Daphnia pulex: one gene and its partner. The protein of the gene in region 1 binds, or shares a complex with, the protein of each later gene. Links are inferred from orthologs where the notes say so. Each region holds a gene or a part of one and is shown in the gene's direction. Other genes may lie near its edges.

Region 1 (5,018 bases):
CAAATGTTTTAACACATACCGATAATGTGTAGCTAAATGGCACGCTAAACGATGCGGTTCACGAAACAGCTTTCCACATAGATCACAACAACAGGGCTATTGAATAATCAAACAAATTTAGTTAAATTTTTAACACAAAAAGTTATTGATGTAACCAAACAACCTTCTCCCCAGTATGCACTTGTAAATGTATCTTTAGCACGTTTTTGTGAGCGAACGTCTTTTCACAGTAGGGGCAATTGTGAGGTCGTTCTCCGGTCTGAATTAATAATTAAGTATTATTTATCGTCGCAATAATTTATTAATACTTTATTATTTACGTGACGCATTCGGTGTTGTTTCATGTGACAAGAATTCCGAAATTTCTTCCCGCAAAACTCGCACTCAAAAGGCGCTTTCCCGCCTAAAAAATTTGGTTATTACTTTATGAGCAAATATGAATTATTTTAGTAATGCAAGATGGAAATTACCGTGCATATCAAGGTGATGTCTCATAACAGCCCTTGTCTGAAAAGATGCTTGACACACGTTACAGATGTAAGGTCGAGTTCCGAAGTGCTTAAAAACATGTTCGACATATGGGAAGTAGGAGGTCATTTCCTCTTCACATTGATCACACTTAAATGGGTTCTGACCAGAGGGAGTTAGAAGTTTTGCCAATTCTCTCATATTTTGCAAAAAGGTGGAAGTATCTGGTCCACAACCAATTTGGTCTGGAACAATACACTTGTCCATTAGTTTTACCTATATTTTTAAAAATTAAATTTTTAAATTTTTTGTAAGTTGAAATCTTTATATTGAATAAAATTTGTGGAGGTAAAGGAATTCAATTCACTCCAACCTGAAGAAGTTCCAGTGAGGCTTCAAGGGTAGATCTTTCTTCCTCAACAACAACTGCTTCTTCAAATGCCTTGGTATTAACAGACGAAGTAGAGTATTTCTTGTTTTCAATGACAAATTCAATTGCTTTGGTTGGCTGTGTTATTGACTTGTTTGAAGTGGCAAAATTGTTATTGGATGGCTCCACATTTCTGTGCTTTTTAGCTGAGAATGTGCTTCTTAATTCAAATACCTTCCCATCTACTTCATACTGCAGTTGTAAATTCTTTTGCCTGTTTATTGTGATGTCATTCTTGATTACTTCACATGTTGGTGAAGGTTTTCCTACATGTTGATGTTGTTCCTCTTTATCACAATTGGAAAAAGTGAGAGTCCATTGATTTTTGCTTGGAATGAAAGAAAATACTCCCTGTATTGCATGCGAGTGTTCAGTTTCTCTCGATGATTGTAGTTTATCTATATCAGAATCCAGTTTGAAGTCGCAAAATCCACAGTGTTCCCAAGTGGTTTCAATACTTGGTTTTAGCTGCAAAACCATTTGTTTACCTTCTTGTGCTGTTTTCAAAACACCGAGAATCTCTAATCCCTCACAACTTCCCATCTTGATTGATGGAAGATTTTGTCCCCTATTACAAATTACGACACTGTTTATTTTGGCTTAGCTTTGGATTTTTCTTCCAAAGTTGGTAGCCAACAGCTGTTTCATTCATTACTCAATAGATGACTTTGTACTATGTAAAAATAATTAATTTTTGATTTTTGATTTACAGATTACATCATACTTTTGATTTATAACTTTAACAAAAATGTAATTCAAACACAGTTACTAATTATCTTTATAAGTTTATAACATTTGTAAACTTCGAATTGTGAGCCAGCAATTTTTATTCGGCAACGCCGCGCCATTAGAGAATTACGCGGGAAAGAGCTGAAAGACTAATTCGGCCATTTATGTGTAGACAACTGTGCCTTTTGTCCAGTGTTCCTGCATTATAGCTTTTATCGGTTGATTTTCGTCTTTCCTGATCGTTTCAAAATTTTCAAGACCTGCATTAGAAATTTTACTCGTCATTTATTGAGTGTTTTTTTATTTTGTGTTATTTTTAAACCATTGTCATGGCTGATGACAAGGAAATTAGTCAAGAAAAGGAAAGTGGTGAGTTACCTTTACATCTGATTCATTTTCGTGTTATTTGTATTTACCACCTGATTGATTTTCAGGTCGTACACGGAGAACTAAACAAGACCGTGAAGGGAAATTTGCAGCCTTTCAAAAGCTAAAAGACTTAAAGGGTACTAAAAACAAAGTTACCTTGACGGAAGTTGATAATGTTTATGAAGAGGTTGATGAAAGAGAGTACTCCAAACGAGTTCAAAGACGACAAGAAGATGATTGGATTATTGATGATGGTAATAGAGTAAAGCCAAAATTAAATTATAAAATGCCTTGTTCACAAAATATTTTAAAAATCAGATGGAAGTGGATATGTTGAAGATGGTAGGGAAGTGTTTGATGATGATCTGGATGATGATAATATGGCCCAAGCCAAAGGAGCAGCCAGGGGTCATAAGAAGAAGGACTTGTCAAAAGGAGTTCCTGGAAAAAAAAATAACATTAAAAATATGCTAATTGGCATGTCCTCTAAAAACAAAGAGGTCTGTTTTAGCACTTATATGAATGTTTTATGGAATTTCAAAGGTTTATTACTTTTATTACTGATTTCACTTTTTAGAAAGATGCCAAAACTAAAGATGATGACATTTTAGGAGACATCATGCAAGAACTGAATTCCACCCCTTCAAATGCTCCCTTGAGGCAATCAGTTTCCACTCTTAAAAAGAAGACCATTACTTCTGGGTACCAAAAACTATTAGAACTAAATTAGATCATGTTTTGATTCTGTGTTTTGATTAAATTTTTTTGAAATGATTAGATCGTTGATAAGTCGTACACCAACTTCGATCCCACGGATAACCAGCACTTCAGTGGCATCGAGGCTATTGAAAGCAGAGGTATCAGAAAAATTTTTTCTTTAATTTTCCCCTGTAAACTCCGTCCTATTCCCTGCAGCCCAAACGTCTGCCTTTTGGCAGAGGGGCATCCAATGTAGAAGACAATACCTACGACTGTGCATCAATCGAAGATTCAAATTCATTATGCGATGATAATCCTTTTATAATGGATGGAGTACGTATATTATTTTATTTCTTTTCTAATCTATTTAATACTAATAATAAACCGTTCCATACTACCTTCACTTTTATGTGCTGCCAGCCTATGGACATCGACCAGTTCGATTCGCAACCAGAAATCAATACGCAATCAAGTGAAGCCTCAATTACGACATCTTATACTCCCTGTGAAGAAAGTATTGATCTTCAAGAACTGAAGCAAACTCCTACCATCAGGTTTGTCGCATTTCCGCCAATCTAATATTTATTTTAGATACATTCTTTCTACTTGCTGATGTATTTTTAGCGAATTCGATCTTACTTCGGGATGGGAAACCATTAAAAATAACGTTGACGTTAACCAGAGTGTAGCTGTTTTGGATTTAGGGAGTAATGAGCTTCCCTTGACTCAAGGGGAAGATGGAGAACAGGTTCTATAAATACTTGACTGTTATTTTGCAGTTTCAACTAACAATTATGTTAAATAGTTTTTGCGCATGTACTGGTTCGATGCTTACGAAGATCCGTATATGCAACCTGGCACCGTGTTTCTTTTTGGGAAAATTTTCATAGAGTCGGCTAAAGCGTATGTCAGTTGCTGCGTTTCCGTAAAAAATATCGAGAAGCATATATATGTACTTCCACGTGATACGGTATACACATCTTTATCTAACCTGAAAACTTTTGGCAAAAACTCAACTTGCCAATATCATTTGTATAAATTCATGTACGGAACATTTGTCGCTTTCCTTTTTCATCAGGTTGTCGATCAGCGTACTGGCCAGGACACGGGAACTCCGGTTAATTTTATGGATGTATACGAGGAATTTAATACGCGGGTAGCAGATCGCTACAAAATTTTGCAGTTCAAATCACGGCGTGTATTGAAAAAATATGGATTCGAACCACCGAGCATTCCTCGCGAGAGCGAATATCTTGAAGTGAAATACTCTGCTGAACATTCCTTGCCTACGAATTTGAAAGGTGCAACATTCAGCCACGTCTTTGGAGCCAATACTTCGGCATTGGAAAACTTTTTGTTGGAAAAACGCGTTAAAGGGCCTTGTTGGCTAAACATCAAGAACCCCCAGAAGGCCAACCCGCATGTGAGCTGGTGCAAAGTGGAGGTATAGAAAATATTTTTTTAACGAAATCAAAATCGAAAATTAATTAATATGATTTTTATTTTGTATTCAGGCGTTTGTTTCTAACATGGATCAAATTGAGTTAGATGATAAAAGAGAAGCGCCGCCTCCATTGGCTGTAATGGCGCTTAATTTGCGCACTGTCGTCAACAATCGCACTCAGCAAGTGGAAATTGTCGCCATCAGTTGTTTGATACAAAACGAATTTCATGTAGACCGTGCTGCTCCTCAACCTCCGTTTCAACAGCATTTTTGTCGTAAGCTACAATTATGGAAACGATTGAATGAAGATACATGTTTAAAAAAATCAATTTTCGTAGTTGTAGGCCGTCCATCTGAAGAACCTTGGCCACTAGATCATCGCGATACCATGAAAACGACAAAACTAACGAAAATAGAACTAGCCGAGAACGAACGAGCCCTGCTTAATCTTTTTCTGGCCAAAATTAACAAAATCGACCCCGATGTAATTGTCGGGCACGATGTAGCTTCCTACGACTTGGACATACTTCTCCATCGTTTCACCCAGAACAAAGTAGATCAGTGGTCTCGTCTGGGCCGACTACGTCGCACCAATATGCCTATGTCTAAGGTTTGCTTAGACATTAGATTAACACTCAAGTAAGAATAATAATAATAAAAAAATTTAAAGGGTGTCAGTCGCAGTCATCTTGTCATGAGTGGGCGTTTGGTGTGTGATGTGAAGATTTCGGCAAAAGAACTTATACGCGCAAGGAGCTACGACCTCGAAACGCTGTGTCAACAGGTTTGATAATTGAACCACACCTTATACATCTCAATTAATGCATTGTCTTGTTCAATAAGGTTTTACATTTAAACGGAGTTCGCCCAGATTTGAGT
Region 2 (5,060 bases), on another chromosome or scaffold:
ATGGCCTTCAGAAAAGATTTTTTTGTAAAGCGCGATAAAGCGCAACTTGAATCTGACTTAAATTCTCACCAAATTTAAATAAAGCCTTTTTTGTTTCCATAGTGACATAATTCGGTTTCTGTAAAACTTCAAGGCAAGGGCTTAGCCTACAATTCTCCTCATTTCTACACCACTCTGGAAGCACGTACACACCATGCGTATTTCCTAATTTTCAGAATGGAAATACTAATTTTAATTTTTTTGAATAATTTCTAAATTATGATCTAGGAGCTCCTACCTATTGCAATAGTGGATGGATGACCAATGGCTACAATTCCATCTTCATCTAGTTGGTTAAACTTTTCTTCAAGACTTTCAAGACCTGAGAGATAAATTATTATGTAATACCAAAAAGGACAAATGAAAAAAAGAAAGAAGAATTATTAAACAATTACCTTCTAAACAAAAAGTTTCTATATCATCAGAAGCACAAATAAATATTCCTCCATTTTTCATCAGTTTAAGAAAAGGTGAAGTAATAATAAATTTTAAATTTAGAAGTGTTATTGCTTTTCCTTCAACTTCTAGTGGCAATGGACAAAATAACTTTCCAGTACAGCTTAAATTTGGTAATCTTTTACTAGATCCCCCTAAAATAAAAATATTTTTTAAAGAAATAAAAAAAATAGTATTAACTGAAACATGTAAGTAGGCCTATAACATCAATTCCTACCAGCATGACTAATCCAAATTTTCATCTCAAATAGATCATTGGCAAAAAGTTTTTTTAAATGTTTCAGAATATGAAAGGTAGATCCACCTGACCCCAAAGCATATCCAGGACAATCAGCAATGACTAAATATTTAGTAGCCCTTGGTATTTCTCCATTTTCCAGTTTCTCATCAATTTGCTGTTTGAAACATTCTTTTTGTTCTTCATCTCCGGCAGATATGACTACACAATCCCAAAAACCATCGTCTAAACAGATAAAAGGTAAAATGTCAAACAATCTCACTGACTTGTGATAATTTGTGTGATGGATGAAGTTTTTACTTGTTAAAAACTAACCTAAAGATGTTTTGTTAAAGTTTTCCGCTAACTGAACCATGTACTTCTGGATTCGTTCCATTTTTGTGACTGTTGTAGCATTTTCCAGGACGACGTAGGCTTAGTAACTTTGCCACGTAAACACTTTAAACAGTCCAAATTTCATATTTCAGGTAAAAACACAGATGTTTATTGACGTATTCAAAACATGGGAATTCAGAGACCCCTGGAGGGTGTTAGAGAAAGATAACACGGGTAATTTATCGGACTTCGGATATGATTCTGAGCCTAAACCTTTGGGAAACGAAGTTATTTACTGATACAGATTTCTGGAATTAAATATGTTTTAATTTTTGACGAAAAAAGCGAAAAGTAGTAATCATTTTCATATCACAGGTAATGTGTCGTCTGTCTCGTGTCCCGTGTGGTTAGTTTGAATTGCAAAACAACGAACTCTTATAGACATACCATGGACATACTGCAATTAGCGAACTCTTTCATTTTCATAGAGGCATTCGCACTTAATTATTTATGGTCCAAAATTTAATTACAGTCGTCGCAAGCCCGCAGCTGCGTGAGACAATGAATTGGGTGAGGCAAAGATTAGATTTCCTGCAATCCTTGCAAAATTCTAATTAATAAAAACTTTGAATAACTTTAAAGCTATTTAATATGCATGATTTGTATCTAGCAAGTTCGCAAGTCTTCGAATTTATTTTAGAGCGGTTGCATTTGCATGCAACTTGCAATCAATTTGGAATCCTTTTTTTTTCGCCAATTTTATATCTGGCATCACCGTTGCTTTAGTTTGAGCGCGAAAAGAGATCTTTTGTTGTTTCATTTACCGTCTGCTACTCTGCTTTATGTTAAGTGTTAACCGCGCAGTAAACTTGGTAGAAAAAAAATTTTGTTGAATAAATTCCGAGGGAAATAGTTACTTTTAAAAATGGAATTTCAACGCAACACAGTTCGGCGAACTATAAAAAATTCTATGAAGCTAAGAAGTGAATATCCTCATTCTCTGCAACTATATTCCGTACCTCCCAGTGAAACCATCGGTTTGCAAGAACTTGAAGATTGGGCTGTCGAACGTCTCAAAGGTATAATAATTGGTCATAACTTCTTATTAATTACCTCCGTAATTACTTCAAATTTTTATCAACAGTTCTTAGGACAATAGAGCGTGTCAATCTGAGTAAAAATGCCAGATTCTCTGATGATTGGAAGACTGCCCTGAAAAATGATTTACAAAAGCAGAACTTGAACAGTTGGTATCAACTGAGCTCAAGTATCAAAGATGATAAGATGGATGAAATCATTTCAAAAACACGACAGAAAGATCATGTTTCTCACTTCTTGATGAGACTTGCATATTGCAGGACTGAAGAGTACAGGCGTTGGTTCATTGCTCAGGAAACTGATCTCTTCCGCTTTAGATTTTCGATGGAAAGTTCAGAAGATATCAGGGCATTTATGAAAGAAAACAAAATGAATTTTCTACCCGTATGTAGAGATATTGCAAATATTCACCAAATTATTACTTATTTAATTATATTTCACCAAACATTTTACAGATTCCAGAGGAAGAAAAAAAGAAGATATTGACTAAACTTATACATGCTGCCCAATTTAATGCCAATAAAGTTGATGCAGTGGAATATTACAAGGTTCCCTTTACAGAGGCTTTAGATTTAGTTCGCCATCGCAAAGTATACTTGCAAGCCGGATTTGCATACATTCCAAGCGAGGACCTCGTTTCCATAATCACAGCTATGTTCCGCTCTCATTTATCACTTGCTATGGCGGTAAAAGAAAATAATTTTTTAATATTCACTGAATAACTTATTTAAAGATATTTTTTTTATTGGATTGAAGCTTACTATGCGTTCACTACCAGAGCTAGAGGACGATCATCGAATCCGTCGCTTACTGAATGACTTTGATAAACGATATACCGGTCAAGATTTTAACTCTCTACAAAATAAATCTTCTGGTGCCGCTGTAACACCAGAAATGATTGATGGGGTAAGACCAACAAATTTCCGTGCTTGCTTTATAAAAACAAAAATAGTAAATCATTAAAATGTATGATTTGCAGTTGTCAAAACAATCTTTCCCACTCTGTATGAGACATTTACACGAGACATTGCGTTCTACTCATCATTTAAAACACGGCGGACGTATGCAGTATGGACTTTTTGTCAAAGGAATCGGACTTAGCTTGGAAAATTCATTGAAGTTTTGGAGGGAGGAGTTCTCCAAAAATATGGATATGGATAAGGTTGGTAAACCTCCACCGAGGATCAAAGTTTCATCAAAACTTCTCCTTACATTTCCCTATTTCCTTTAGTTTGAAAAGCAATACGCATACAATATTCGCCACAATTACGGCAAGGAAGGAAAAAGAATCAATTACGCACCTCAAAGCTGCATCAAAATCATTACTGCCAGCGTAGGTCCGGGTGAGAATCACGGTTGTCCGTTCAGACACTTTGATGCTGCCGTCCTTCGACAGAAAATGACAATGAATCGTGTTCCTCAGCCAGGTAGTAATTAATTTCATATGCATGTCTTTGATCACGTAATTTAATTTGTTTTGGTGCCCTTCTAGCGATTCAAGAAATAGTCGATCTAGTGACACGCCATCATTACCAGATTGCCTGCCAGCGGTACTTTGAAGCCACGCACAACACCGAGATTGATAGTGGTATCCAGCACCCAAACCAGTATTTTATCGAAAGCCAAAAGATCCTCAACGGTGAAGTGAAGGAGAAAATCAAGGGAGCGAATAAGGTACAGACCATTCGTGCTACTCTTCCAGCTAAAGTAGAGAAACTTGAAACAAATGAAAATGAGGTTCTCAGCGAATCCGTTTTAGCAGCAATTGATATGGATGATGATTTCAACTAAATAGTTTAAATCAACTTTTACTTGAAAGCCGTACAAAGGGTTTTATCGATAAATTGTATCTAGCTAGAAGTATTGCGCACTGCATTCGGTTGATCAATAAGATTCCCCAACTGAATAAGCTTGCCTTTTAGAAGTTTGTAACAAAATCGTAGAGATCGTATGTTAAGGCGCGTTTGAACTTAACTTGAATATCTTTCCCACGGCATCAGATGTATATCATTTCTTATCTAAAATGTATCCCTGAAACTTTGCGTAATTGAATTTTGTAAACTCAAAGTTTCATCCGAAAAGAAAGTTTTGGTGCATTATTTGAAAGGGAAACTTGCGTCCGCTCAAAGTACTTTTTGAGGTTGGTGTGCTTTTTCCTAATCGTCAAAAATAACTTTTGGAACAATAGAATAATAGAGAGAGACATACTTCGTGATTGGCACTTGTGTATTTTACTTTTCGGTATGCATGCTGTACAAAATTTCACAGTCACTAAACGCTGAAGTTTACAATTCAGTGACTTTGATGTTTTTAGTACACGGAAGCTGCGGGATAAAAACTTTTAAGAAAGTCTAATTAACGAATCCCTGTTTTGAAATAATCTCGCCACATTGGGGAGAAATTGAACGATCTAGAAAAGTAATAGTACTATGGTTTTTGTGTATATGCAAAAAAAAAAACATTCTAAATTAACAATACAAACTTTGTGTCTTTTGGTAAATTTCGATCAAATTGTAAAATCTCCTCAAGCTCATCGTTTCAGCATGATACCAATTATGAAAAAAGGGATGACTGAGGAGAAGGGAAAGACGACCATTTTTTAATATGTAGATTGCATGGCAATCATCGTACCAACACAAGGTTTTAACACATGGCCGGGAGTAACAATAATGTACACGTAATAATACCGCCACCTAAAGTGGTTGACCTATACACGGACATTTTTCGGTTTGTCATCGCTTACTTGATCGTTGCGGTAACACGTTAGTCTTCCGCCATAGACGTTGACGGAGCCACTTCCAGCAATAACTGCAAGAATGTTGTAACATAACCTTTACAGAATTACAAATGATCAGTGAATTAATTGTGTTTCCTTTTTCCCTTTTAGAGATTTTCAATTGTCAAAGCACTTACT

What was found.
Region 2: DNA polymerase alpha catalytic subunit-like (region 1) and DNA primase large subunit-like share a complex: the UniProt entries of both Drosophila melanogaster proteins name them as parts of the alpha DNA polymerase complex. The link is inferred for Daphnia pulex from reciprocal best matches to the Drosophila melanogaster genes PolA1 and Prim2.

The regions. Positions count from the first base shown.
Region 1 is NC_060022.1:1,987,342-1,992,359, forward strand, and holds the start of DNA polymerase alpha catalytic subunit-like, read left to right. Parts: upstream 1-1,762; 5' UTR 1,763-1,956; coding exon 1,957-1,996; intron 1,997-2,061; coding exon 2,062-2,250; intron 2,251-2,314; coding exon 2,315-2,496; intron 2,497-2,573; coding exon 2,574-2,698; intron 2,699-2,774; coding exon 2,775-2,853; intron 2,854-2,911; coding exon 2,912-3,028; intron 3,029-3,115; coding exon 3,116-3,249; intron 3,250-3,319; coding exon 3,320-3,443; intron 3,444-3,500; coding exon 3,501-3,665; intron 3,666-3,773; coding exon 3,774-4,139; intron 4,140-4,209; coding exon 4,210-4,414; intron 4,415-4,477; coding exon 4,478-4,749; intron 4,750-4,809; coding exon 4,810-4,923; intron 4,924-4,982; coding exon 4,983-5,018. Other genes in the region: putative zinc finger protein 66, read right to left, coding at 20-96, 164-259, 321-403, 471-744, 842-1,441. UniProt on the Drosophila melanogaster protein: Catalytic subunit of the DNA polymerase alpha complex (also known as the alpha DNA polymerase-primase complex) which plays an essential role in the initiation of DNA synthesis.
Region 2 is NC_060018.1:6,169,820-6,174,879, reverse strand, and holds DNA primase large subunit-like, read left to right. Parts: upstream 1-1,814; 5' UTR 1,815-1,973; coding exon 1,974-2,127; intron 2,128-2,192; coding exon 2,193-2,530; intron 2,531-2,601; coding exon 2,602-2,832; intron 2,833-2,902; coding exon 2,903-3,052; intron 3,053-3,125; coding exon 3,126-3,308; intron 3,309-3,377; coding exon 3,378-3,573; intron 3,574-3,638; coding exon 3,639-3,937; 3' UTR 3,938-4,349; downstream 4,350-5,060. Other genes in the region: fucose-1-phosphate guanylyltransferase-like, read right to left, coding at 1-5, 70-204, 278-361, 435-629, 713-958, 1,049-1,109; b(0,+)-type amino acid transporter 1-like, read right to left, coding at 4,910-4,977, 5,060-5,060. UniProt on the Drosophila melanogaster protein: Regulatory subunit of the DNA primase complex and component of the DNA polymerase alpha complex (also known as the alpha DNA polymerase-primase complex) which play an essential role in the initiation of DNA synthesis.